Oryzias latipes: one gene and its partner. The protein of the gene in region 2 interacts with the protein of the main gene of each other region in a pairwise test. Links are inferred from orthologs where the notes say so. Each region holds a gene or a part of one and is shown on either strand. Other genes may lie near its edges.

Region 1 (11,895 bases), about 18 Mb from region 2:
AACCCGCTGTATCCCTTTCGGGGTCAGGGGTCCTGCCAGAGCCTAACAGTCATACACACTCACAGTCACAGCCAGGGACACTGGAGAGTTATCAGTTAACCTCTGAAGCATGTGTTTGGACGGTGGGAGGAAGCCGGAGTGCCTGGAGAAAACCCACGCATACACGGAGTGACCATGCAAACTCCACGCAGAAGGGCCCCGGCTGGGATTTGAACCAAGGCCTTCTCACTGTCAACCCAGAGTGCTAACCACTACGTTATTTATGCATTATAAGTTAGGGTTAATGGCAGACGAAAGGCGCATTTTCAGAGATTAACGCACGCCATGGAAGCCTGAACCGTCCGACGCAAAGCGGAGTTAATGCTGATGATGCTCACTTCGAAGGCCATTATCCCACTTATACCATGGTCACTTACAAAAATAAATAAATATCCAACTCGTTTTCAGTACTTGATTCTTGTTATTTTTACAGTTTGGATCACTGTTTTCACAAAAAGTGGACTATTTGGTGGTGCGACACGTGACCGCTTTTTTTTTGTCCAGAGGATGGAGTTTGTTTTAAAGAAGCCAGCGCAGTGATATAGAACATTTAGGCGTGGTATATCACTGTGGTATATCACTTTTTAATCCACACCCAGCAGCCAATCAGAATCGAGAATTCACCCTGACCATGCTATAACTACTTATAACTAGAGCAGCTGCTGCACATCAGTCTGTGAAGGATTATGACAGCTTCAAAACTCATTTTCCTCATGTTACTGTTTGTATAAGTTCAGCCTAAAGGTCAAAGGAACTGTGAGGACTCAGAGCTGCTCACGCTACAGCAGACAGTTTGGATGGAAGCTTTTAAAGCAATGGAATCATTGGTTCCTGTAAACCAGCAATGTCCTTTCTTCCCAGAACAATGAAATGGAAAGCAAAGCTGGGTTCTGAAAGGTTCTCCAGGAAATCCTCTGAACTGTCTGTGTTGTGCAGGTGCTGGAGCTTGTCCTGGCCATGTGCTGCGTCTCCGGCCTGCGCTCGCAGCTGTGCGACGTGGTCTTCAGGCCGGCTGCACCCAAACTCAGAGCTGTGGGCCGAAAGCAGGGTGGGGGCCTGGAGTGTGGTCTGGCTTTGGTGCAGTGGCTGACCTCGCCTGTGGAGGGCGCCGAGTCCTGCTCACTGCAGGTCCTGAGCCTGCTGAACAAGCTACTGGAGGTAGGACATGAAGACAACCCATTAGAGTGGGTCAGTGCTTTAAAATGCAGCTTTAAAAGTCATTTTTCTGTAAAAGGTGCATTTTATCATCCTGCTGCGTCAATTCAATGCTGGTGGTGCTGCTGCATCCAAACGCCTTAAAACACGTAGAAAAAGAAGGTTTTGTGCGTTTCTAGGAGGAACATTGTTCAGCGGAAGGTTTGTTTTAAACCTTAGTTCTGCTGTATTTCAGACTCAGACTTTACATGAGCCCCGCCGTCTGGGGCTTTAGTGAGCTGATTTAAAGTCACTATGGAAACCAAAGAAACTAAAGCTTCAAAGGGGAAAGCCAGAGTTTTCTTGTTGGGTTTACAACCAGCACTTTTTGTTTCTGTACATTCACATGCACACATTTAATTTTTTCTTTGAATTTTCCCAGCCTCCTAAAGCCCAATTCTGTTGCAGTAAACATTAAAATGTTAACATCTGAAGAATAAAGTTGTTGTTTCACAAATACAGTTGGAGCCAGTTATCTGATCGCACTGTGTAACACATCCATGGCGAGTGACTCATGACCACTGTCTCGCTGCTTCAGTAAAACTCTGTCACAACGCCCTCATCTTCGTCAGACCTGCGTCATGAATGTTCTCCCCATTGCCCGTGTGGTGCAGGTTCTCGTCACGACTCTCTCTCCTCTCAGGAGTCGCTGGCAGCAGAGAGCGTGTCTGAATGTGCGCTGAGTTTTGTGGAAATGCTCCTTCCGGTCCTGCTGGGTCTCCTGAAGAGTTTGGATCCAGCACAAGGAGACGCGGTCCTCAGGAAGCATTGCCAGCGTGTCACACATGTCACCAACCTGCTGCTGAATATCCTCCACAAACATCTGATGGTCTCTGTAGAGCAGGAGTCTGCAACCTTAAACGCTAAAAGAGCCTTTTGGAACAGCTTCTTCCAGGTCAAAACCCAGTGAGAACCGCTGAGTCCCACTGCACCATTTAGAAAATACATTTGTTTATTATAAATACAGCTGTTTATTTATGAATGTAGCTTTTAATTATTTACAATGATTAAACTACAAAAGTGTTTTATTTTTCTAGGTGGAACAATTTGATCTCCAGAAATACATGCTCCTTTCAAAATAAAACACACCCTGTGTTATGTTTCTCCTGCTGCAGCAGATTTACCTGTTTTGAAAATGCAAGAACATTAAAATAAATAAATAAAATTAATTAATTAATTAATTAATTAATTAATTAATTGATTAATTAAAAAAATTAAATAAATAAATAAAAAAATCTGACAGCATTCGTGTAAAATCCAATTTTTGTTTTAAATGTATACATGTAAATCTTTTGATCTACTTTCCCAGTGATCTTTGAATTATGATTATAACGTTTTGAGCCAAGATCGAAAATCTGTGTCATTTTCTAGGACATAGTTTCTGCAGAGCGACATTAGTTAATCAGAAATTTGTATCTGAGTTGTGGGCGGAACCATTGGCGTGGAAAGCCTGCCCTAATTTCCCAACATCCTTTGTTTACACTCTCTCCCACTAGCTCACAGCCCCTCACACCCCACACCTAACATAACTGGTGTAGCAAAAGTGGCGATCAATATCGTAGCTCTCCAGCCGTCCAGTTTAGATCCAGACGTTCATGGATCTGTTTGTCTGACAGTGGATGATCAGAATGGAGCACAGCAGGAAGACTTTGACCCGCTCAGCGTATTTTCTACGTAAAAAGTAGACGACCTTTTTTAACGTTATTTATTTCTTCCTGATTCACAACAATTTGAATAATGAAATACAATTCTAGGATCAATTTTCTTTATACAAGATGTCCATCAAATACCACAAGATCATGTTAAAAGCGCCCTTTTAATTGGATTGCATCTTTAAAGAGCTTTGTGTCTGAACAGCAACCACTAACTATTCTGCAGCAGAAGATCAGAACAGGGCTTTAAGCATTTTCTAATAATAAACCAATTTGACAGTAGAATAAACCTTTTACTGCTCAGTGATCTGACTTAACAACCTAAAAAGAAATGATAAAACTTAACAAAATAATCCAAGCTGCAAATGAATTATTTGTTGTAATCATTTGCATTAAAGAGCCACCTTTGGCTGCGGGGGCGTCAGGTTGCAGACTCCTGGTGTGGTGTGGTGTGGTGTGTGCAGCTCTTCCCCTCTGAAGCCTTAACTCTGTCACCTCTGTGCTTGGAGGAGTCCAGCAGGTCTGTGGTATCAGCTCAGGTCAGTGCTCAGCTCTGCCTCACACAGGTAGAGACTCTCCTCTCCTGTTGTCATAGTAACGGCTCAGTCACCCTGCATCCCCCCCAGTGTGAGGATGACCTTAGGTGAGAGTGTCTGTCTGTTGTTGTATGATTTAAGCTGCAAACATTTCCAATATGCACGTCCGGTTAAAGGGCGGTGGTAATGCAGATGTCACTGGTGCGGTTTTCTTACAGTCAGGTCTGCGCAGAGGCTTTGCTGAAGACTTTAGAGTTAATGAGCAAACTGAGGCAGCAGGTGAAGGACATGGAGACCGGCTTCTACAGGATGTTACAGGTGCTCCTCATCATCATGCATCTTCATCTGCTGCTTTGAAGTTTGGCTCTAACTTGTTTCCCTTTGCAGGATCAGAGGATTGTGACTCCCCTCTCTCTGGCCCTGACGTCCCACCACAGAGAGCATGTGCAGACTGCTCTCGCTCTGCTGCTTGAAGCCACGCCCCTTCCAGACTTCCCCTCAATGATGTGAGTCATAGGCCAGAAAAAGTAAATATTGTTTTCTAATAATGCCTATAAACAATTTTTAATAATTTACCCCTTTTTTTGTTCTCCAGATTAGGAGAAAGCATTGCTGCCCACAATGCATATCGCCACAGGGAGGCTGAGCTGTCAATCAAGAGGCTTGCCGTGCAGGAAGTCCCGCCTCCCAGGGTGAACAGCAGCATGGACACTTCCAGCTCCTCCAAGACTATCAGCAGTCTGGCGGAGAAGATCCAGAGTGGGCTGGAGGTACAACCTGCGCCAGCGTCTTACTATGACAGTGAATGCATGGAAACACATGACTGCAACCCCCCCAGCATCCCACAGACCTGTGCCGCCAATCACTGACTTACCTTTCACTGGTTAGACTTGCTCCTTCAGTTTTGCGTGTTCACTGGGTTTTAATGAGCTTTCAAGTATCAGAGTGAAGCACAAATATCAGTGCAGTGCTGATCCTTTTGAAACAAAGAAGTCTGATTAGTAAGAAGTGAGGCTGCTAAGAAACACATTCAGCATTTCAGTTAGTTTACAAATGATCCATTTATTCTGTCTAAAAACAGCTTCTTTTGGTTTGAAGAAAGTTTTGATTTTAATGAACTGATGAGTCTTCTTTCTTCATATTAGTTAGCAGCTGTCCTCTGTTAGCAGTTGTTATTGTGCCGCTGCAGGCTCAGTGGGCCCTCTCTCCTGTTGTGCAGAGGTGGGCGACGAGCCAGGAGGTTTTTCTATTCTGTAGATGGTTTGACATTTTGAACCCTGTGCTGTTGGCCTCGTGTGGCCTGTCTGCGCTGCTGAACCCTCTGTGTTTCTGCCGGCAGCTGCAGGAGCAAATGAAGGACTCGCACGTGTCGGACATCATTGAGGTCTACGAGCAGAAGCTGGCTGCGTTTGCGGTGAGGTTTCCCGAGGCTTGTTTCCCGTTTGCTCGCCGTTTGAGCTCACTGTCTTATCTCAGAGCTGCACTTCAGCAGATGAAGCTTTTGTAGCAGATGTGTCTGTGTTTCCCGTCAGTCTAAGGAGGGCCGTCTGCAGGACTTGTTGGAGGCCAAAGCGTTGGCGCTCTCTCAGGCCGACCGTCTCATCGCTCAGTACCGCCTCCAGCGAGCTCAAGCAGAGGCAGAGGTACTGCAGACGACCTGTCAGAATTCAAACCTTTGTGAAAGATCCAAACTCTGAAAGCAACATGGTTGGACAGATTCCATGAAGATCTTAGTATTTATCAAACTGAATGAACACATAAAGATTTACAATCTTAAGGATTTGAAACTATTGATCAGTAGATCTTTCTACAAACCAAGGTATTAGGCCACAATGGAAGGCTACTTTTATAGAAGAAGAGCGTTTGTTCTAATGGTAAAAATTAGATTTTTATACAGCATCCTGGTGCTGTGGATTAGAGTCCCACATGGGTCAATGTAAGGACCGGAAGTATTCATCCTATATGTCAATGATATGATACCACATTTAAAATGTGGCATTTAGGCACATAACTGATCACTTAAAGAATATATAAATAGCTTTATTAGTAGCTCGCCTCGTGATAAGTCAATTGTTGTAAAAGCTAAACATGAATGTTTGATGTTGACCTTTCTGCATATCCTAGATTTTTACGCTGGATGCCCTTCCTGACATAACCCTGTATTTTATCTGGCCTGGGGACCGCTGTAGGTACTATAACCGTTCGGCCTGGAGCTTCCGTTCGGCGTCCTGGGGCTAATGCTGACGTCACATTATGTGATTGGCTGTACGTTGTTCCGATGACGTGTCAGATAGTGATTGGTCTGGACAAATACTACCATAGAGGAAAATGTTATAAAGTCTGTTGTAAACAAACGTGCCTTTATTATTGTTATAATTATTATAAAATTAATGTTCGCTTATAGTTTTTTTAAATTGTGCGTCCAGTGCTTCATTATTGGCAGAACGGACCCAAAAGCACAACATTTAGCCGTGCTAACAACATTTTCAGCCACGGCTGAACTTAAGCTGGAATAACAAGCGGATTGAGGCAAAATCTATTTATAAAAATTACAAAGAATATTGTCAGACGCAATTTATGAGGGAAAATAACTTTAGGTTACAAAAGGGAACGTGAAATGAAAATTTGCAGATGTCGATGCTACGTAGTTTGTCCAAGTGGGGTTACCGTAGTGTGACGTTACCTTCAGTCAAAAGGACCCCGAACGGAAGTTCCAGGCCGAACGGTTGTGGTACCTACACCGGCACAGGGGGACCCAGACTTGTGGCCCCTTGTGGCTACATAGTTGGCTACAGTGTTGAGGGTCTAAGGACCTGCACTGGATGAAGCTCATCATCCCCCCTGGGAAACTAACCCTGATTTTCTATGTGCCAATCTTCCAGCTGCCTTAAACCTAAACCGCAATACATAACCGTGTTAATTAATAAAAGGGATAACATTGAGCCAACTATTGACAAAATAAAAACTGATGCAGTGTTTTAAAATAATAGATCTTTGTGAAATCTTATTCAGACAAAAGACAGACTTTGCCGTCCAAGATGCTGTCGATTCAGAACAGTAATTAGAAAAAGGCTACAGATGTCAGAGCTCAATGCGGATGGTTGCTGAGGTTTTCCACCTGCAGGCTCGGAAGCTGGCGAGTCTGTTGAAGGACGCCGAGCGCCGGCGGGAGGATCTGCAGGGCAAGCTGAGCTGCCAGGCTCTGGAGGTGGAGCGATCCAAAGCCGACATGGGAGAGCTGCTGCAGCACAACAGCCGACTGCAGAGGGACTCTGAGGAACACCAGGCTCTGAAAGGAGCCTACAACTCCCTGCTCAACAGGTCAGAGGCAATTCTGAGGAGCATTTACATCAACCCTGCAGGCTTATTTCTGCTTATGAAATAGCTTTTGGTTGTGACTGTGTGGGACAGCTGGACCCCTTCTTTAAGTAGAAATTCTCAACTTTGTTTACCTTGATGCAGCTTTGCTAGTTTCTTTGGCCAGTTCCTTAATCCGGTGGCGTTTATGGCAGGTCTTGTGTTACTTCATGGCCTTTATATTCTCAGAACCAAGCATTAAATGGCTCATTGGTTAAAGGCTTTAGTAATAGTGTGTTGGAGTAAAGACCCCCTGGTTTTTATCTTTCTGGAACATTTCCTCTGCAGGTTTAATGAAACAGAGCAGCTGCTGAAGGAGCTGCAGACCGCTCACATTCTTCTCACCAAGCAGAGCGACTCTCTGAAGAAGACCCACGATGCTCTTCAGCTGCAGCACCACAGGTGATTGTGTCTGAGTCCTGCCCCCTCATCTCTAGATGAAGGTTTCTCCACCCAGTTTTTACACAAAACACGCAATCCATCTGTGAACAAAACTGCTGATTTATGCGACCAAATGCTAAATAACAGCATCAGCAAAAGGAGGTTAGGCACCAAAGTCCCAACGCTGAATCACTTACTGGAACAAAACACTTCCCACCAACAATGTTACCTCACATAATGGGGAGGAAAATGAATATAATGACAAATACTGGCCTGGATTACTAAAGCTTAGCAAAACAGATCCAACTACAAGGAGCTGCATTTCCAGAAGAAAATGCAGGCTTGAATGCTGAACTGCTGAATGAGAATGAAAGTTAGAGTTATAATTGGCAAAAGAATTTTAAATCAATAAATGATCAAAGTTGACCATAAATAAAGTGAAAACAGCACAACAACAAAAAAGGTATGTTTGTGAAAAATGCCAGAGCCGGGTATCGAACCAGCGAGCTTCAGCACCAAGGATTCCCCGTGGATTTCAATGTAAGCAGAAATCCTGGAATATCTTGAAAAGGTCAAGGATTTGAAGGTCCAAAAGTCACAGCTGGAAAAAGCTGGAAGAGCTGAACATTTGAATAGTTGAATAGATAAAATAGCTGAAAAATTGTAGAAGGAGTTAAGCGGCAAAAAATGGCAGAAGATACTATAATTAAGAAAGAAAAATAGGAAAACAATTGGTTGAATGCTTTATAGCATTGTCAGTTCATCAACCATGAGACACTAGCAAAGAGAGCTGGGCAGAGCAGACCATGATTCAGCAAACAACCCCGTGGTTCTGATCCTGTCGGGGGTGAAGACCACCAAGCTCTGAACCGCCACAGCTGAGCCCCCCTCAGAGAGGTGACACAAGACGGTGATTTTAGGGAAGACTCTTCACAAAGATCCACAAAGCGCAGTGAGGTCCCACTCTGCCACAAAGACAGTCCACAGCTGCAGGCCTTACAGCCTGACGTCTCTGCTGACGCTTCTGTTGCTTCTACAGGACGGCGTCTGCTCTTCAGGAGAGAGAGGAGGAGATCAAAGCACTCCATTTAGAGATCCAGAGGAAAAACAGCGACATTGCAGGTCAGTGTGGAAGCTCTAGATCACTCATGGCTGAATTTGAGAGCTTTAGAGGGTGTATTGGGAATGCGCTGTCTTTGCTTCTGTCCTCTGGCAGGTCTGCGTGTCAGCCTGCAGGCCGAGGAGGAGAAGGTTCAAGAAAAGGAGACAGAGAGGAGAAACCTGGAGGAGACTTTGGACATTTTGAGGAAAGAGCTGAACAAAACGGAACAGGCCAGGAAAGACGCCAGCATTAAGGTACGAGGCCATCTCATCACCCTTAGACATGTGCACTCTCTGTCCTTTCAATTTAACACAGGAAATGTTTAAGATTAATATTCTTTATTCAAATTATGTGATTGAACACTGTTAGCACAGAAAACAATGTTTTTGGTGTCTCAAAGCTTTCCGTGTGCTATTCTGTCTGAGAAACTTCACATGGAAGCAGCGGCCTGAACATGTTCTGCTTTGCAGGCTTCCTCTCTAGAGCTGCAGAAGAGTCAACTGGAGTCAAAACTGAAGCTCAGAGAAGAGGAACTGAACAAACACTCTGCCATGATCGCCATGATTCACAGCCTGAGCAGCGGCAAGATGAAGAGCGACGTTAACCTGTCACTCTGAGGGGCAGCAGATGATTGGCTGAGAAAATCCTAATTGAAACACCGTCTTCCATGAACTTCAGAGGCCTTTGAGAAGACTTTCACAACTGAGGAAGCTTTTTAGATTTAATAAAACGCTTAAAGAATTACTTTTACCCAAAATTGATATTTTATTGACATTTTAAAATCACTTTTTATTTGACAAATAAACAGTGGAAACGTCATTGTGGTCAAACTTCAGATCCAAGTGATTTGCTTTGGGTTGAGTTGATCTTTACAAGCTGGAGCCTCATGTTGTTCATATCTGACTGGAAAAGCATTTTCAGAACAGGGGGGCAGCTCCCTCTGCTGGTACAATGTTGTTGGTGCAATTTCTAAAGAAAACCCAGACTGACAACAGTTCAAGCTTAAACACAGGGGTGGAATCTTTAGCTTTTTAAAAAGCTGGGCTACTGGGCTGCATGCAGACGGCCCTAGGTTTTCTTCCGCAGTCCAAAAATGTGTTTCATAGCTTACATTAAAATGCTCCCTGGAGCTGACTCAGGTCTGGTTGTTTGTCTCTGTGTGGCCCTTGATGGACTGGTGCACTATTCAGGATTTACTGACAGGAGCTGGGTCAGATCCAGCTCACCCATGATCTCAAACAGAACTAAGCGGGTTTAGAAGGTAAAAGTCTTCACCACGGACATTTCTATTCTCTTCACAAAGTGCATCACCATCTGACGATCCTGAACTCCAAACTTCTCCATCACTTCATCTCTGTTCCCTTCACCCACATGTCTGTTAGAGTTTGATCCAATCGTCACTCTCTCCTCTGGAGAGCCTGGATCTCCTCATCCATCTCCCTCCAGAATTTCTCCTTCTCCTCTGCAGCTCCTATTCTACCTGGGGGTCATAACCCCTGACAACATTCAACATCACACCTTCATCTTCCAGCTTCAGACTCATCCTCCTATCTGACTCTCTCTTCACCTCCAGAACCTCCTGATCAAACTCCTCCTTCAGGATCTCCTCCTCTGCTCCTCTTTCCATCCACATCATGATAAAACAGCTTGGAGCTGCTTCCAATCTACCAGTCTGGATCTCTTTCCATCTGAAAACACAGCAGATCCATCTTTCTGCTTTCTAAAATGTTGACCAACTCTCTAGTTTTCCTGTCAAAGTTCCTACTTATCTCAGTTCTTCACTCCTGTCTTTCCTTTGTCTCTGTGGACAAACTCATCTTCCTTCTCTTCTTTCAACAACAGTCGTCCATCTTCCACCAGGACCATGTAGATCATCAGTACCAGTGTTTGTCATTGTTCATCTGGATGATGACCATTCTGGAAGGAAAGTTCTCTTCATAATTTTAGGATTGATTGAACTTTGTTTTTTTTTGTCAAATGTCTCTCCTGACAAAACTCTGCATTTATACGGACTTGGGACAGGCACGCAGTAGTGTTGGATTTTGCCCCCTTGAAGTTGAATTATTCAAACTACTGTCTGCAGCAGCCTTGGTTTCAGTTCAAAGACTTGAGCAAACCTGGTGATGTGGACAAATATCTCTAAGATTTACCTATAACTTCCAGATTCTGCATGCAGGAAGTGAATCCATTCTAACTCCAGTGGGGAGCTCTGTGTGATGCTCCTCACAATCGCTCTGTAATGGACAATTGGTTTCTTACGTCTCATTCCTTTTTCATAAATGGCCAATAGAATTGCTCTTTGCTGTTTCCCTAATGTTTCATTTTGCCCTGCTGGTGGGTTAGTATTGTGGGGATCTGCCCTCATGAGCTCTTTCTGTCTTTGAGTTTTCCTGTGCAACACACCAAAGTTTGCTCCATTGTTTAAAACTCTTTTCAAGTTTTTGTGTCAAGGCTCTGTGTTCTTCCTCTATGGGATTTCTCTGCTGCTCACTCACGATTGGTGGTCAATGACTGAAAAAAGCTCAGCGTGTTGCCAGTTTGAACATAGCACTGAAGGAGCTCATACACCATCCTGCTGGGATGGTGGTAGGATATCCCAGTGGAAACAACTGCTTATTTTTACAGTGAACGGTGAACACTTACTTACATTGGTGTCTGTATATAGGGCACCGTAAAAGGACATCATCATCCACATTTAGTTTATTTGGTTAAGACTCTAAGTCAAGGATGAAATTGACCGTTTGCCCTAACCCAGGAGTATTTTTGATGTCAAAACTACTCTGGCTTCATGAATTCTATAGTTTAGTTAGGTCTCACCATCCCAGACCCCTGCACCTTTGATGTGCAAGATGCGATGGAAACATCAGGAAGAAGGAACATGAGAAACTGGAGAAATACCAGGGACTCAGAGAAGAACTGGAGAAAGCCTGGAAAGTGAAGGTGACAGTGGTGCCTGTGGTAATTGGAGCACTCGGCGCAGTAACCCCCAAGCTGGAGGAGTGGCTACAACAGATCCCTGGAAAGACCTAAGACCTCTCAGTCCAGATAAACGCAGTGCTAGGAACAGCTAAGATACTGCAGGACCATCAAGCTCCCAGGCCTCTGGTAGAGGACCCGAGCTTGGAGGAGAAACCACCCGAGAAGGTTGGAAAGAGAATCCAGAAAAACATCTCTCTTTTCACCGTCACAGCAACACATTTGGCTGTAGAAAGGCCATCAACAGCTGGGAAGTCTTTCACACTTCTTGACCTACATGTCTTTTTCAGAGACATGATTCAAAGTGACTTTATACTGGGAGACTCTTTGGAAAGAAGTCTCTTGCTTCTGACAAATGGTGATGGTTGTCACTCTTTTAACTCAATATCATGTAACACCCAAAATATATGATTACGGTTAAGCAAAAAATTACTTTATTCTCCTAAACAGTTCACTCAGGAAACTTTTACTCTTCCAAGAGTGACCAGGCCTTTGTAGATGACCCAGTGGAGGTTAATCATTTTTTTCCTGAGTGATGTGACAGTCCAGCATCTCTACTTCTCTCTAAAGTCTGTCATGGAGCTACCCCTCCATCTCCAGATGGGGCCACAAGGTTTCTAAAGCCAACCCAGGGTGAAGGTGGAGTAAAGCAATCATG
Region 2 (13,299 bases):
AAAGGTCCGTCTGGACAAACGAAGCTCGTCGCTCTTGTAAAGATCTTCATCCCGCTCAACGTTTCCATCTTCCCGTTCCCTGCTAGGTGCGCCTGACACTAATGCGTTTCCTTCCGGGCGTTTTCATGGACGCCATGCGAGACAACGCAGAGGCAGCGGTTCACATATTTGAGGGAACCCACGAGAACCCGGAGCTCATCTGGAATGACAGCTCCAGGGAGAAAGTCTCCACCACTGTGCGGGAGATGATGCTGGAGTACGTCTGACTTTTGATTCTCTTTCATTTGCAGTTTGTCCCTGTCTAAGTGTAACTTGTGCTTTTTTTCAGTCACTTTAAACAGCAGAAGGATAATCCTGACGTGAACTGGAAAGTAAGGATTTGATTATTGTCTGGGCTGGTTTCAGTTTTTGCAGTAGATAGATAAACGTGCGTTCTTGTGTGCGTGTTCAGCTGCCAGATGATTTCACTGTGGCGTACGGCGCCGGACAGGGTGAGCTGGAGGTCGGCGGAGTGTTTCTGCGCATCTTTATCGCTCAGCCCGGCTGGGTGCTACGCAAGCCGCGAGAATTTCTGGTTTCTCTTCTTGAAACGTTGACCGAACTGTTGGAGAAAAACAACCCAAACGTGAGCTCCTTCACCGCACCGACTTGTCTTTTTGAGGGAAAATGCATCCAGAGATTTCTCACTGTCACGTCATGTCACCCTTCTAGGGTGAGGCCCTAGAGACGGTTACCACGGCAGCCGTCTGCCTGTTCAGCACGCAGAGCCAGCTGGCTGACCAGGTTCCACCCCTGGGTCACCTTCCTCGCATCATAGCAGCGCTCAACCACAAGAACAACGCCATCCCCAAGAGCTCCATCCGCGTCATCCACGTCTTATCGGATAACGAGGCGAGAAATGAGTCAAACGTCACGTGTTTACTTTTATCAACAAGTAATCTAGCTAATGACTTCAAAGGTAACACCATTTCTGTCATCACCACCGCCTTGGTGGCAGCAAATTCTAATGATCGACTGATGGAAGCAAACAGGGGAAAGCCACAAACACAGCATGAGCAAGTCCCCTTTCTACAAAGGTTTTTAATTTAGGACTTCAAAAATGACAAAACGGCAAGAATGGACATGTGAAAGATGCACTTTGTACAAAAATAACCCGTTTTATTCATGAAGTGGAAGTTTACAACCAGATTTTTCTTAAGGCGCAACACAAAAAGCAAATAACAACCAAACAAGATAGTTACGGATACAGATCATTCAAGGATAGAAAAAAATGGGTTTATGTATTACCCCTGAATGTGAATGATAGAATAATCTCAGTACATGACAGGATAAATAATACTCATTATTAAAAACAGTCACTTTTATCCACTTTACTCCTAATTTTTTATCCAAAATAATCTAAGCTAATTTTTTTTCATTTTGTCTGTCCATCAATAGTTTTTCTTCCTCCTGTGTTTATCAACAAAAAACATAAATCTTTTCCCAAAGCTTATTATTACGAAACCAGTTAACCGTTTAAATTTTGAGATCTTCAAATAAACGTTTGAATTTGAACATCGGTGTATCATCTGCTAAAAGGATGACTTTCAGTACAGCTGAAGCTGAAACATAGTTTGAAGTGAATTTGTACACAGCGAAAACTGAATCTTCAAGTTAAAAGACCCTTGTTGACCTTTGCAAGAAAAATAATCGTATCTAGAAACATTTTCAGTATGGAAATAATCTTAGTTTGAGAGAACATCTCTGACTAGAATGAAAATGAAAATTATTGTTAAGACCATTTTTCTTTCCCCATTGGCAGATTTTTTTGCCAATCTAAAGAACATTAAATTATATCTGCAAAAAAATACCAACTACTGTTATCTTTTATTCTTGTATTGTGTATAAAAGAGCCTGAAGGCTGTTCCTTCTGTTTCTTTTTTCTCCAACCTTTTAAGCATCCATTAGTTTGTTGACAACAAGTAGGAAGTAATAAAAACAACTTACAAAACTATCATTTTAAATTTGTTTCACTATGATTATTATGTTTGTCCAATATTTGCCCCTCTGAACCAAACTCCCCAAATGTGGCCTAAAGCAGTCGAGTATCTTCATGTAGACATGCAAAACTGAGATTCAAATATGTAGAATCAAGTGTCATTGGAGCATTCTTTTCTCCTGAAAATGCAATTAAAAGGGAACGCTTGCTTCCTGCAGCTCTGCGTGCGCTCCATGGCGTCTCTGGAGACAATCGGTCCTCTGATGGCTGCGATGAAAGTGCGGGCAGACATGGCGGGCGTGGCCTGTGAAGCTCTGAACCGCATGTTTCAAAAGGAGCAGACGGATCTGGTGGCTCAGGTATTCTTTCTTCTTCTCCCCCCCACTACTACGTTGACTTTTATTTTGAAAGCTTTCTAACAGAATTGATGTAAACAGGCTCTGAGGGTGGATTTAGTTCCGTACCTCCTGAAATTACTGGAAGGAGTTGGTCTGGAGACGATAGAAAACCCCTCAGCTACCAAGGCCCAGATAGTTAAAGCTCTCAAGTCTATGACTCGCAGTCTGCAGTACGGAGAGCAGGTATGACGAAATCTTTTAGACTAATATTTGTTGGCCTTCTTGGTTCCATGATTGTTCATGTAACTGTGAACCCTTTTCTAATTTTGCAGGTTAATGAAATTCTTTCCAAGTCCTCAGTGTGGAGTGCCTTCAAAGACCAGAAACACGATCTTTTCATCTCAGACTCTCAGACAGCCGGCTACCTTACAGGTGAAGGGATTTTTATTTTACTCTTTTTACATTTCTGATTTACAATTTAACCTGCAACTTCTCTAACGTGATCAATTTCCTAAAAAGGTAAGTAATATCTGTAGTCTGACCCCTTGATGCTCTGCTTTACCCCTTAATAAAAACCACCTGGCTAATTCCTGACTTTATGCTCAAACCCAGCGACCCTTTTTCTCTCCTGTGACTTCCTGGTTCTTCCCTTCCTGTCCTCTTTTTCTGCCACTTGCGTTTCCTTCTTAGGGGTTTCCACTCCTTCTCTCCTGGCTGCCAGCAGCCCACTGCGAGGTGGGCTCTAGACTCCAGAACTTGGCCCTCCTCTTGCTTGCTCTGATGCAGGTAGACTCCAACCTGGCTCCCAATCTGCATTCATTTCCTGTTCCCTGTCTATCCTTATTCATCTAACAACTCTGTCGCACTCTGAGTCGTTTTTCGCCCCTCCACCTTAGATCTGCTCTTTAGTGAATCCACCCGAACTGCGTCTCTACTGTCTAGTTTGACAAAGATTCTTAAAATCGGAAAATCCATGAGGCCGATTTGCGGCTTCTATGTTTGCTTTTTCCAGTAACTAATTGACATCAAGTCATTTTAATTCAAAATGTCCAAAACTTGAAAAGTGCAGTTATTAAGGTGATCTTAAATTAATAAATGTAAAAAATAATTAAAAAAAGATGGCATCACAATGGGAGAAACCATCAAAAAATGAATGGGGTCAAAAAAAATAAAAATAAAGGACGTGTCTGGGATGTCCAAAGGAAGTTTAAAAACTGTTATAGAATGGCCACAGGACTAACTGTTTGATTTGGAAAAATGTTGGTTTTAATGTTTGTAGATTTTGAACACGAGCATTCCCCTTTTACTCGCACAGTTTTTACCAGAATATTGTGAAAGTTTTATACATGGATTGTCGGTTCTGGCTGAACAAAATGATATTACATACAGAATAAGCATATTAGGAATGTGCTTGACAAAAAAAAAAAAAAAACCTCTGTTGCCAAGGAAATCTGAAAATTTACTTTTGCAGATTCTTTTAGAAATTACTTAAATCAGTTCGTCACCTCCAGGCAGCCAAAACATGAAATGGTTGCTATGGAGATAAACTAACAGAAAAGCCACCATTTTGAAAAAGTTTTTTTTCTTTGTTTTTTCATGAGTTTTTGGCACAGGGTGACGGGGGCAGAATGGGAGAGTAAGGGGTGTGTAGAAGCTGCTCAGCTAGCCAAGGCGGGTAAAATTGGGGGCAGGTATCGCCTGCAGCCCATACAACGCCAATATCGGCTTTAATCTTTTACTAGGGTCCGGAAAATTTCACAACTGACAGTGAAGATTTGCATTGTCTAATAAGCTTTATCCCAAAAAATTCTCTAAATCATCTAAAGCCAGTTAAATGTAGAGAAGCTTAAGAGGTTTTCTAATAACTCCTGTTAAAAAAAAAAAAAATGTAAAAAAAGAACTCCCATCCATCATTTCTCGTGTTACTTTTATCTGCAGGTCCAGGAGTGGCGGGTTACCTAACAGCAGGAACTGGCACCACAGTTTTATCCAGTGTCCCACCCCCTGTGGACAATGACGTTGGAGACCTAGGCTGAGGAAGCGGCGTGCAGTCACGCTCAGACACTCGGACTGCCCCGCAGCCTCACCAACGGACTGTCTGGTCAGCAGAAAAAGGTCGGGGAGAGGGAAAACAGAAGAGCGGGCCCTCACCTTTTGTCACAAAATCTTTCAGACATCAATCTCCCTTCTTTCAAAAGAGAAAAAAAAATTATGCACTCAAGTCTTCATAAACCTTTTGTTTTTTAGTGACCACATTTGTTTTGTTTCTATTAATTTTTTCTTGTTTCTTTCAACAACAGAAAAAGTTTACTTTTGTATGAATATATTTTTTACTCTAGATTTTTTTCTAGGCAAACCAAGGCTTGTTATTTAGGGAATGTTTTTCTTCCTCTGATGCGTTAAACTGAAATTATTCCGACGGGATTTATTTGCCTCCATGGTGTCTGGACCTTTTCACCTCTCACATGACATGTAATTCACAAAACTGTCTTTAAAAATACACCAGTAATGGGGAAAAAAATGACTTTTTCTGTTCGGTTTGCGCAAATGAACAACTCTAGATCAAACCTTCGACCTGCATACGTTTTTGGGATCATTACACGAATCTGCTCCCCTTTATTTTCCAGCCTTCGACTCTTCATCATTGATTCTGTTTTCTTTAGTTTAATCTTCTTCCATGACTCATTTTAAGTAATTCTCCTCCCAGAAAGCAAAAAGCACTAGAATATTTATAAATGGAAAAATAACCACCGGAATGAGCTTCTGCTGACCTGAGTGACTGATTAAGAATATTTGTGAAAGACTAGTGCAATTTGTGAAATGTTCCATGTAATATTGCGTATATAAAATTTCTACATGAATGTACATTTAAAAATAAAAAATCTGTCACACTTGTACATAAAATTTTAAGAATAAAAGGGAACCCACAGTGTTGTTCTTTGTATGTCTATTTCTGTTTGTCTAATAATCAAATCTAGTAATCATACTATTGTCAAATATATATTTTTAATTGCTTAACATTCAGTTAAGATTATCTATATTTTTTATGAAAAGGTATCAATATTTCCACTACCTACTGAGTCTAAGTCTTCTTTACAATTTTAGGGTAATTTGGGTATTTCTGTAACTGATTAAATAAACAATCTTTAATATTATTGTATATTTATTCTTACAGAAGACGTATTTGTAGTCTGAATGACAGTTGGCTTTGATACAGATTTTTACAACAAATGTTTTGATGAATTTCTGTCATATAGGGAAAATGATTGTGTGGGAATGTATGGCCCAAAATAATTATTTGGGGGGGGATAGTGAAAACCAAATTGTAGATAAATTACTATTGACGTCACATGCCGGGCATGACTTTGAAGTTGTACATGCAGACATGTAGCTTTTTTAATTTAATTTTAACCAAATACATTTAGGGTGATTAATGGTATATGTTTCAAACTACTATTTTACTAGGACAGTGAGTTACATATGGACACTCTGACGGATATATATTTTTAAAGTTTTATGCTAAATGCGTGCCGTCCCGGCCAAGAAGAAAGATCTCCGATTCCACTCGGACACATTACGGAGTAACACCGGAAGTTACGCCGAAAGGCGCGAACAATGTAAACAAATAACTGCATTTCATTTGGCTGAGCCTGAGGACTTTTTAAAATTACTATTATTAGAATAAACTTGTATTTTTATGTCAATTTATTTATTCATTTTGGCAAAATAGAATGTTGAACACCAACTTACTTTACTTAAGTATTCTTTCGTTTTTGACAATTTGAATGTTAGCTAACCCGATTGGACGTTTTCTGTAAGCTAGTAGTAGTTTTGATCTAAATGAAAGTATAAACGTAGCGACTCCTTGAATTAAAAAAAAAAAAAAAGCATTGTACGCATTACACCAGACTATTGATTACATGCTGTCTGTATTGCGGCCTAAAGGACTGGTCTAAACGGATTTATAGGTAAGTACTTTCCAGTTTAAATATATTCATGATGATGTACTCCTTCTTGAGTCGTTCCATGGTCTGTAACATTTAGTTATGATGACAAGTTGTATTCTTTTGGCACATTTTAAACGTCTTCCCAATTCGGCGTCTTTTTACAGAATAAAATTCGCTAAATAAAAAAAAAAACTTCAAGTTAAAAGTCTAGCTAGCGTTCAGTGCTAACATTGAATGTTAGCTGACTCTGCCGTCCCATCATGTCCAGCAGTTAAACCTATTTCAGCTGTTATGCTGCACCCAGATTTTAGCAGCTTCCAATCCAAACAAACTCAAATGCTCCCCGGCTGTGTTTATAATTTTAATGATTTTTTTTTAAATCCTTAAATTACTGCTCCATCAAATGTACTTTTTAAATTCATTTTGTTTGATTTTTATTGCATGCTGATATAAACATGGCATCAAAAGTTGGGCACGTAAAGAAGATGTTCTCTAACTTTTATTTTGACTCTTGTGTAGACTCAACATGTCCAAAGTGGAAAAGGAGCGCTTTATTGTGAAGTTTGTGGAGAGTAAAGGATCTAATGCTGAATATGCTGTTAAAGCGTATGAGGTAAACACAACTGCACAGTCCTTTCTGCAGACGTTTTTTTCTGGATGTTCATCGATGTATATTTATTTAGTATTTATTATATAATTTTCATCCTATTCTAACAGGCCATTTTGGAGCTGCAGTCTGAAAAATATTTAAAGAAGGTTAAAGAGGAAGAGGTTTTACAGATGGAAGAGAAGGACAAGTCTCTGTTTGTGTTCAGCAGTTTTACCTCTCCTGCCTTTCTGCACTGCAAGAAGGTTTGTCGCCTTAGTGAAAGCAAAATTCCTGGCAGGATTTTTAGGAATGAACGCTTCGTTGCTCTGTGTTGTGCAGCATGGCTGTAGAATCGTGAGCCCCTTGGTGGTTTTGTACTGCCTGCAGCAGCAACGCTGCGTCCCAAAAGCAGAGAAGCCGGTCTACAACATGGCCATGGCTGATGTCACTATTTCCTGCACCAGCCTGGAAAAAGCCGCACGGGTGAGTTCTGGTCTGTCTTTGAAAAATGCTGAGACTGTTGCACCATTTCATTGCAGTTGTGTTATTTGCATGTATTGCACTGATAATGTTTTGAAAACTAGTTAATTAAATCTGTGCATCATTTCGTTTAATGCAGATTCTTGCATTTTTAGGCACAAATATCTCTGCTGTTAGTTTTTGATATAGAGAATAAAAGAAACAGTTTTTTTTACATGAAACCAGAATAGAAACTTTATAATTAGTTGTTGTTTTTTTAGGTTAAATGAAAACCCAAATGTGACCTCATGAATTGACACTAAATCACTTTTATGCTTTCACGGGCCACATAAAGTGACATGGCGGGCCACATTTGGCCTTCGGGCCTTGAGTTTGTTCATGTTTATGTTTTGTCTCACTCTGCAGGTGGATGTGATGGATCTGGTGCAGCTCATGGGTGGACGTGCCTGCCTTGATCTTAATGTGTCCGTCACACATTTAATTGCTGGGGAGGTTGGAAGCAAAAAGTATCTGGTGGCTGCCAACTTGGGTAAACCCATCCTTCTACCCTCATGGGTCAAAGCCTGCTGGGAAAAATCTCAGAATAGGTATGAACTGATTATTTTTGTTTTACATATTTGCTCCTGGGTGGCGCAGTGGTTAGCGGTCTTGCCTCATGGCAAGAAGACCCCTGGTTCAAGTCCCGGCTGGGGGACCTGAAATGGAACATCAAAAGGGGGTCTTTCTGTGTGAAGTTTACATGTTCTCCCCCGTGCATACGTGGGTTTTCTCTGGGGACTCCGGCTTCCTCCCACCGCCCAAAAACATGAGAGTGAGAGTGAATGGGTGTGTGATTGTGGACAGTCTACCCTGTGACAGACTGGCCAGGGTGTCCTTCCCCCACAAGTGGCCGGGATATGCTCTGGCAGCCCCGTGACTCCGAAAGGGACAAAATGAAAGATGAATGAATGAATCAATGAATATTTGCTCCTTTGTGGTCTTTATTATAAGTGCTAATAGTGTATTGTTATTTTTACTCTTTACACTTCATCACCCTAGTTTCCATAGATTACCGCTGATTCATAAAACTAAGTTTCTGTAGAGTTATATATTTTTTATTCTCTCTTCAGCCTTTTTAGATACACAGACTTGCCTATGGATGAATATCTGTGCCCCGTGCTGCTCGGATGCACCGTTTGTGTGACAGGCCTGTCCAGCACAGAACGCAAAGAGGTGCAGCGCCTCTGTGAACAGCACGGCGCCAAGTACAGCGGCCAGCTTAAAATGAACGAGTGCACGCACCTCATTGTCAGTGAACCAGCAGGTGAGACACTAAAATATAGAACAAAACTGGACTATAATAGGAATACCCGATACGTCCTCATTTTCATGAACATTCACTAACACAGTTACGAACTGTTTCATATTGTAATGAGTTTCTCTTCTTTTGTGTCATATTTTACTGTTACTAATAAAGCTTTGATAAAAAATGTACATTTTTTTACTCTACCACCCATCACTGCTGCTTTACAAGCATATTAGTTTGTGTTTCCATAATATACTGTCATGATGAAAGACGTTTGCTCTCACTACAATCACCTGATAAGTCAAAGCAGATTTAGATTCAAACAAACTTATCAATATCATTTTCATGCAGCTGTCTGCCTGCAATCATGGTGTGCCTGATGCTGTTGTGTAATCCTTTAGGGATGCAACAATTCCCTTTGGTTGAGGCTTCAATTTTTGTGTCACCGTTTTGTTTTTGTTTGATATATGATTTGTGTATTACAAAACGTCAACAACAAAAACAACAAAAACAATATGGAGAATTATTTTTTAAATTTGCTTTTAAGCAAGTAGCAATTAGTGTAATGTAATAAAATAATGTTACATATATTAAGTTTAGCACAACGCATGTGTTTGATGCTTACGGTGTAAACGTATTCAAATGTATCCACTTTGTGTCACCCCTCTTAGAATGAACCTATTAGTTTGTTGTTTTCCTGTAAAACTCTTCCAAAAGTGTAAAAAATCTGGAATTGTAAAGGTGATTGTTTTTAGAAAAAGTTTCTCATTATCAAAAAAAAAAAACAACAACAGCGATTTAGTAATGAAGTTAACACAACTGGTGGTGTTTTTGTTCTGAAGGTTTATGTTTTGTTGCAGGTCAGAAGTACGAGTGTGCTCGCAAATGGAATGTGTATTGCGTATCTCTGCATTGGCTATTTGACAGCATAGAGAAAGGTTTCTGTCAGGATGAGAGCAGGTACGCCGTGGAGCGCCGCGCGTCAAATACCAGCCGACCTCACACCTCAACCCCCACAGGCAACGGCAGGAAGGAAGGCGAGGAACAAAAAGGCTCAGAATTCACCTTTTAGACCTTAAAAAACGAAACATCTTTAACGTGTTGTCTTGTGAAACAACATTTGCCTCCTTTAGATGGTCCTTCGCTTTTGGGCTTGAGCAACATTTCTGTGAGTGGCAGTATGGCGATCAACGACACGGCCCTCACCATCAGCCGCCTGGAAACGGCCGATCCCATAGATGGTTTGGATCTCACCGTTTGTCCTGCTGATGACTTACTGGATGGCTGTAAGGTAAATCACTGACAAATTCCATTTTACTGTCGATGCTTGTTTGAAAGTGAAGTGCAGGATTTGAAGGCAGGACTCTTCTGCGCTCGCTACTTCACAGCTGTATTTGTGCGGCCTTCCACTGAAGAAGCTGGAGAAGCTGCGGCGTCTTGTCAACAATGCAGGAGGTCTACGTTTCAACCAACCAAGCGAGGAACTCACACATGTGGTGATGGGAGAGCCGGACCAGGAACTCACAAAGTTTCTTTCCAAAGCAGCTTACAGGTTTGATAAAATCCCTGAAATTCTGTGTCTAAATATTTAATGTTTTTTTTCCCTTAAACTGACTCTAAGCTTGTGCCGCTTGGATTGAGTTAAACGTCAATTTAAGTATTTAAGTTCTGAGTTAATAATTTCTAATTTTTTGTGATCAAGCTGCATCCAAATATTTAAAGAAATTGCAGATAAACTTGAATTATTCGGATGTAAAATAAATAAATAAAGTAGGATTTTTTTTTTAGACATTTAAATGGAATTAATATTAAATTTAGTTTGCCATTTAAGTCACAAATTTTTACATTTCTCAGATTTTTGATGCCTTTTTTAGAAACTGTAGATGTGATGTCAATCATGTAAAATTAGGATCAAATTAAAAAAACAGAAAAAAGTGTAAATTGAGGAATGAAAGTAAAAAGGGAGAGAAAATAACAGCAGCTGTTATAAATAAACATTTTCTTTTCATTTGGTAACAATTTAAGGTTTATAGTTTTCAGTCCTTCCGATTTAAAATGAACATTGTTTAAATTTACAGTGTTTACTATCAAGTTTAAAAAACATTTGAATTTTCTTTTTTTTTAAATTTACAATCCAATTTTTTGATTAACTTTAAGCTGAACCTGATTGTAACCCTTTATTTTACAGAACTGTTTGAACAGACCGAAATTCATTTATGACCATTAAAAGGCTTCGATTTAACCACAACTGAAAGCAGAAAGCGATTGTCAATCACACAGAAAACTCTCTGTTTCATTTAAACATTTAAAGCAGATTAAGCATAAAATGTAAATGGATTTATGGATTGGCCATAACGTATCCAACATCATCTTTCTTGTAATATTTAGTAAGGATCAAGAAATAAGTGTGTTTTTGAATGTTGAGAGGCAGGAAGCAGTTTCGACGTTTGCTGTGGTCTTCCTCACAGGCCTCATGTAGTCACGGTGCAGTGGCTGCTGGACAGTTACTCCAGAGGCAGGCTCCTTCCAGAAGCTGAGTATTTGCACCCCGACTGCCTGCCTCCCGATTCTGCATCCGTGCCCGCCGGTCACGTGGTGAAGCCCCGCCTTTCGGCCGGTCCACCTGTTGCCAGCCCCAGCACCCCCAGACAAAACAGACTGGAGGAGGATCTGCTCTCTCAGTATATGGACGATGATCCCACAGTGGGTAAGAATCTGTTTGTTTGTTTTTAAGACTCTGGAAGAAATTGGTTCAAGTTCAGTGGATCTGAGAGCCAATGCTTCTCCCCGCGTTCATCCTCCAGTTGATATGCCACCACCAGCTGCAGAGAACAGCGGCAGAAGGTCGATCAGTGCGGCTGCAGAGCCTCAGTCGAAGCCCCAGGCTCCCAGCCTCACCAGGGGACCAGAGCAGGACTCCGCTTTGCAGGAATTCAGCGAGACGGGCCTGTTTTCTGGGAAGTCTTTTCTTTTCGTGGGCTTTGGTGTTGAGGCGGAGGCACAGCTCTCCACGCTGGTGATTGAACATGGAGGAAAGGTGCTGGCTGGCCGCTGTCGCGCGGTGGCAGACTATGCCGTGGTTCCTCTGCTGGGATGCTCGGTCGAGGCCACAGTTGACGAGGTGGTCACGGATACGTGGCTGGTAAGAACAAAACCCATCATTTTTGCCCGGATTTTCTGCAAATCCCGGCTTTCTCATATTTGTCTTTTCTTTGGCGTTTCCCTGCCAGGCCATGTGTGTGGAGAAGGAGTGTGTTCTCCTGCTGTCGTCCAACCCGCTGTTCACTCCTGTGGCTGTGAGGGAGGGCTGCTTCCCTCTGGAGGGCTGCGTTCTCTCAGTCAGCCAGTTCATCGGAGCAGAGAGGGAGTCTTTGATCCAGCTGGCCAAGCATGTCGGAGCCGAGTACGATGAGCTTCCGTGACCTTTTTTAGAACGGCTGCAGGGGTCTGAATATTCCATAAACTCCTGAAGACCCACTCCGATTAGTGGCATTTTTTATGATGACGGAGGACATATATAAACATAATTAAGCGTAAAGTTGCGTTTCTAATTATTTATTTGTTCTAGCCGTTGTGAATCAGGAGCAGACAAAAAATGCTGTTGCTCTGGAGAAACTATGTCATAGAAAAAGACACAGTTTTTTAAGTTTTGGCTAAAAATGGCATTATCCTAATTAAAGACCTCTGAAAACACTTTCAAAATAGATCAAAAGATGACTGGAGTGGGACTTTAGTGGTTTCTGTTCATTCTAAATATGATACCTGATTTAAGTTATCCTAATCCTCATCTTCTGCCTGCTGCAGTGTCCAGGATTACTTTGTGCGCTTTGCTATTAAGAAGAAGGGCATGGTGGCCAGCACTCATCTGGTTTTGCAGAGTCCAGACGGCACAAAGTTCCAGGCAGCAAAGAAGTGGGGCCTCCCTGCTGTGAGCATGCACTGGATTCTGGAGTCGGCTCGAACAGGACAGAAAGCAGCAGAGGAGATGTTCCTGGTTGATCTACCTCCTTCACCAGGTTAAAGTCCAGCATTTGCGCGTCTGTGGTGATTCATTGTTGGCATCATCTTTTAATGTTCTCCTCCTCTACAGAGAGGGACGATGAGAGCTTCGTCGGCGGCTCCCAGAAACCGGCTCAAGCTCGTAACTCTCCAGAAATCCCCCTGCTGGGCCCGCAGAGCGGTAAAGCTGTCACCCCTCTGGATTTAGGTCGCTTTCAAAGCAAAGTGTTTCACTCTGTTCTGGATGAGATGAAGCCCAAAGACGGCCTCAGCACTCCCAAACAAAACCCGGATGGCAGCAGAAGACACGCCCACAGGGAGGCGTCGCTGCAGCTGGACACTCCCTCCCGTTTCCTCAGCAGAGATCAGCTCTTCCGTCCGTCCTTCAACGTCAAGGTTGTGATTCACTGAAAGCAAAAGAGGGCAGACTTTTCCTTTATTGACCTGAAACCTTTGTGGGTTTTGCTCTCCAGGATGCTCTTGGAGCTTTGGAGACTCCAGGGGGAAGGTTGAAGCCAGGCGAGAAGGTGGAGACTCCACTTACTGATGTCATCAACAGGAATCTGAAAGTAGCTTTAGCCAATAGCTCGCGGAATAATGTCTCAGAAATGCAGGCGGCTTCTGGAAGCCCTGAACTGGGAAAATCCACTGAGAAGGAGGTAAAAATGAAAGAACTACACAAC

Evidence for each region.
Region 1: the proteins of topbp1 (region 2) and cip2a interact in a two-hybrid assay, tested with the Homo sapiens proteins (2 studies listed by BioGRID). The link is inferred for Oryzias latipes from reciprocal best matches to the Homo sapiens genes TOPBP1 and CIP2A.

What each region holds. Positions count from the first base shown.
Region 1 is NC_019878.2:3,263,876-3,275,770, forward strand, and holds the end of cip2a (protein CIP2A), read left to right. Parts: intron 1-975; coding exon 976-1,197; intron 1,198-1,876; coding exon 1,877-2,039; intron 2,040-3,380; coding exon 3,381-3,528; intron 3,529-3,639; coding exon 3,640-3,739; intron 3,740-3,808; coding exon 3,809-3,927; intron 3,928-4,016; coding exon 4,017-4,191; intron 4,192-4,760; coding exon 4,761-4,835; intron 4,836-4,953; coding exon 4,954-5,064; intron 5,065-6,545; coding exon 6,546-6,742; intron 6,743-7,066; coding exon 7,067-7,180; intron 7,181-8,198; coding exon 8,199-8,281; intron 8,282-8,375; coding exon 8,376-8,515; intron 8,516-8,731; coding exon 8,732-8,878; 3' UTR 8,879-9,400; downstream 9,401-11,895.
Region 2 is NC_019878.2:21,468,130-21,481,428, reverse strand, and holds the start of topbp1 (DNA topoisomerase 2-binding protein 1), read left to right. Parts: upstream 1-5,867; 5' UTR 5,868-5,933; intron 5,934-5,939; exon of another isoform or gene 5,940-6,284; intron 6,285-6,782; 5' UTR 6,783-6,789; coding exon 6,790-6,876; intron 6,877-6,980; coding exon 6,981-7,115; intron 7,116-7,191; coding exon 7,192-7,335; intron 7,336-7,737; coding exon 7,738-7,919; intron 7,920-8,441; coding exon 8,442-8,635; intron 8,636-9,477; coding exon 9,478-9,654; intron 9,655-9,750; coding exon 9,751-9,908; intron 9,909-10,005; coding exon 10,006-10,169; intron 10,170-11,085; coding exon 11,086-11,324; intron 11,325-11,421; coding exon 11,422-11,759; intron 11,760-11,847; coding exon 11,848-12,020; intron 12,021-12,421; coding exon 12,422-12,633; intron 12,634-12,707; coding exon 12,708-13,012; intron 13,013-13,089; coding exon 13,090-13,275; intron 13,276-13,299. Other genes in the region: dnajc13 (dnaJ homolog subfamily C member 13), read left to right, coding at 1-4, 87-256, 329-371, 452-625, 712-891, 2,197-2,337, 2,416-2,559, 2,649-2,748 and 1 more. UniProt on the Homo sapiens protein: Scaffold protein that acts as a key protein-protein adapter in DNA replication and DNA repair. Composed of multiple BRCT domains, which specifically recognize and bind phosphorylated proteins, bringing proteins together into functional combinations.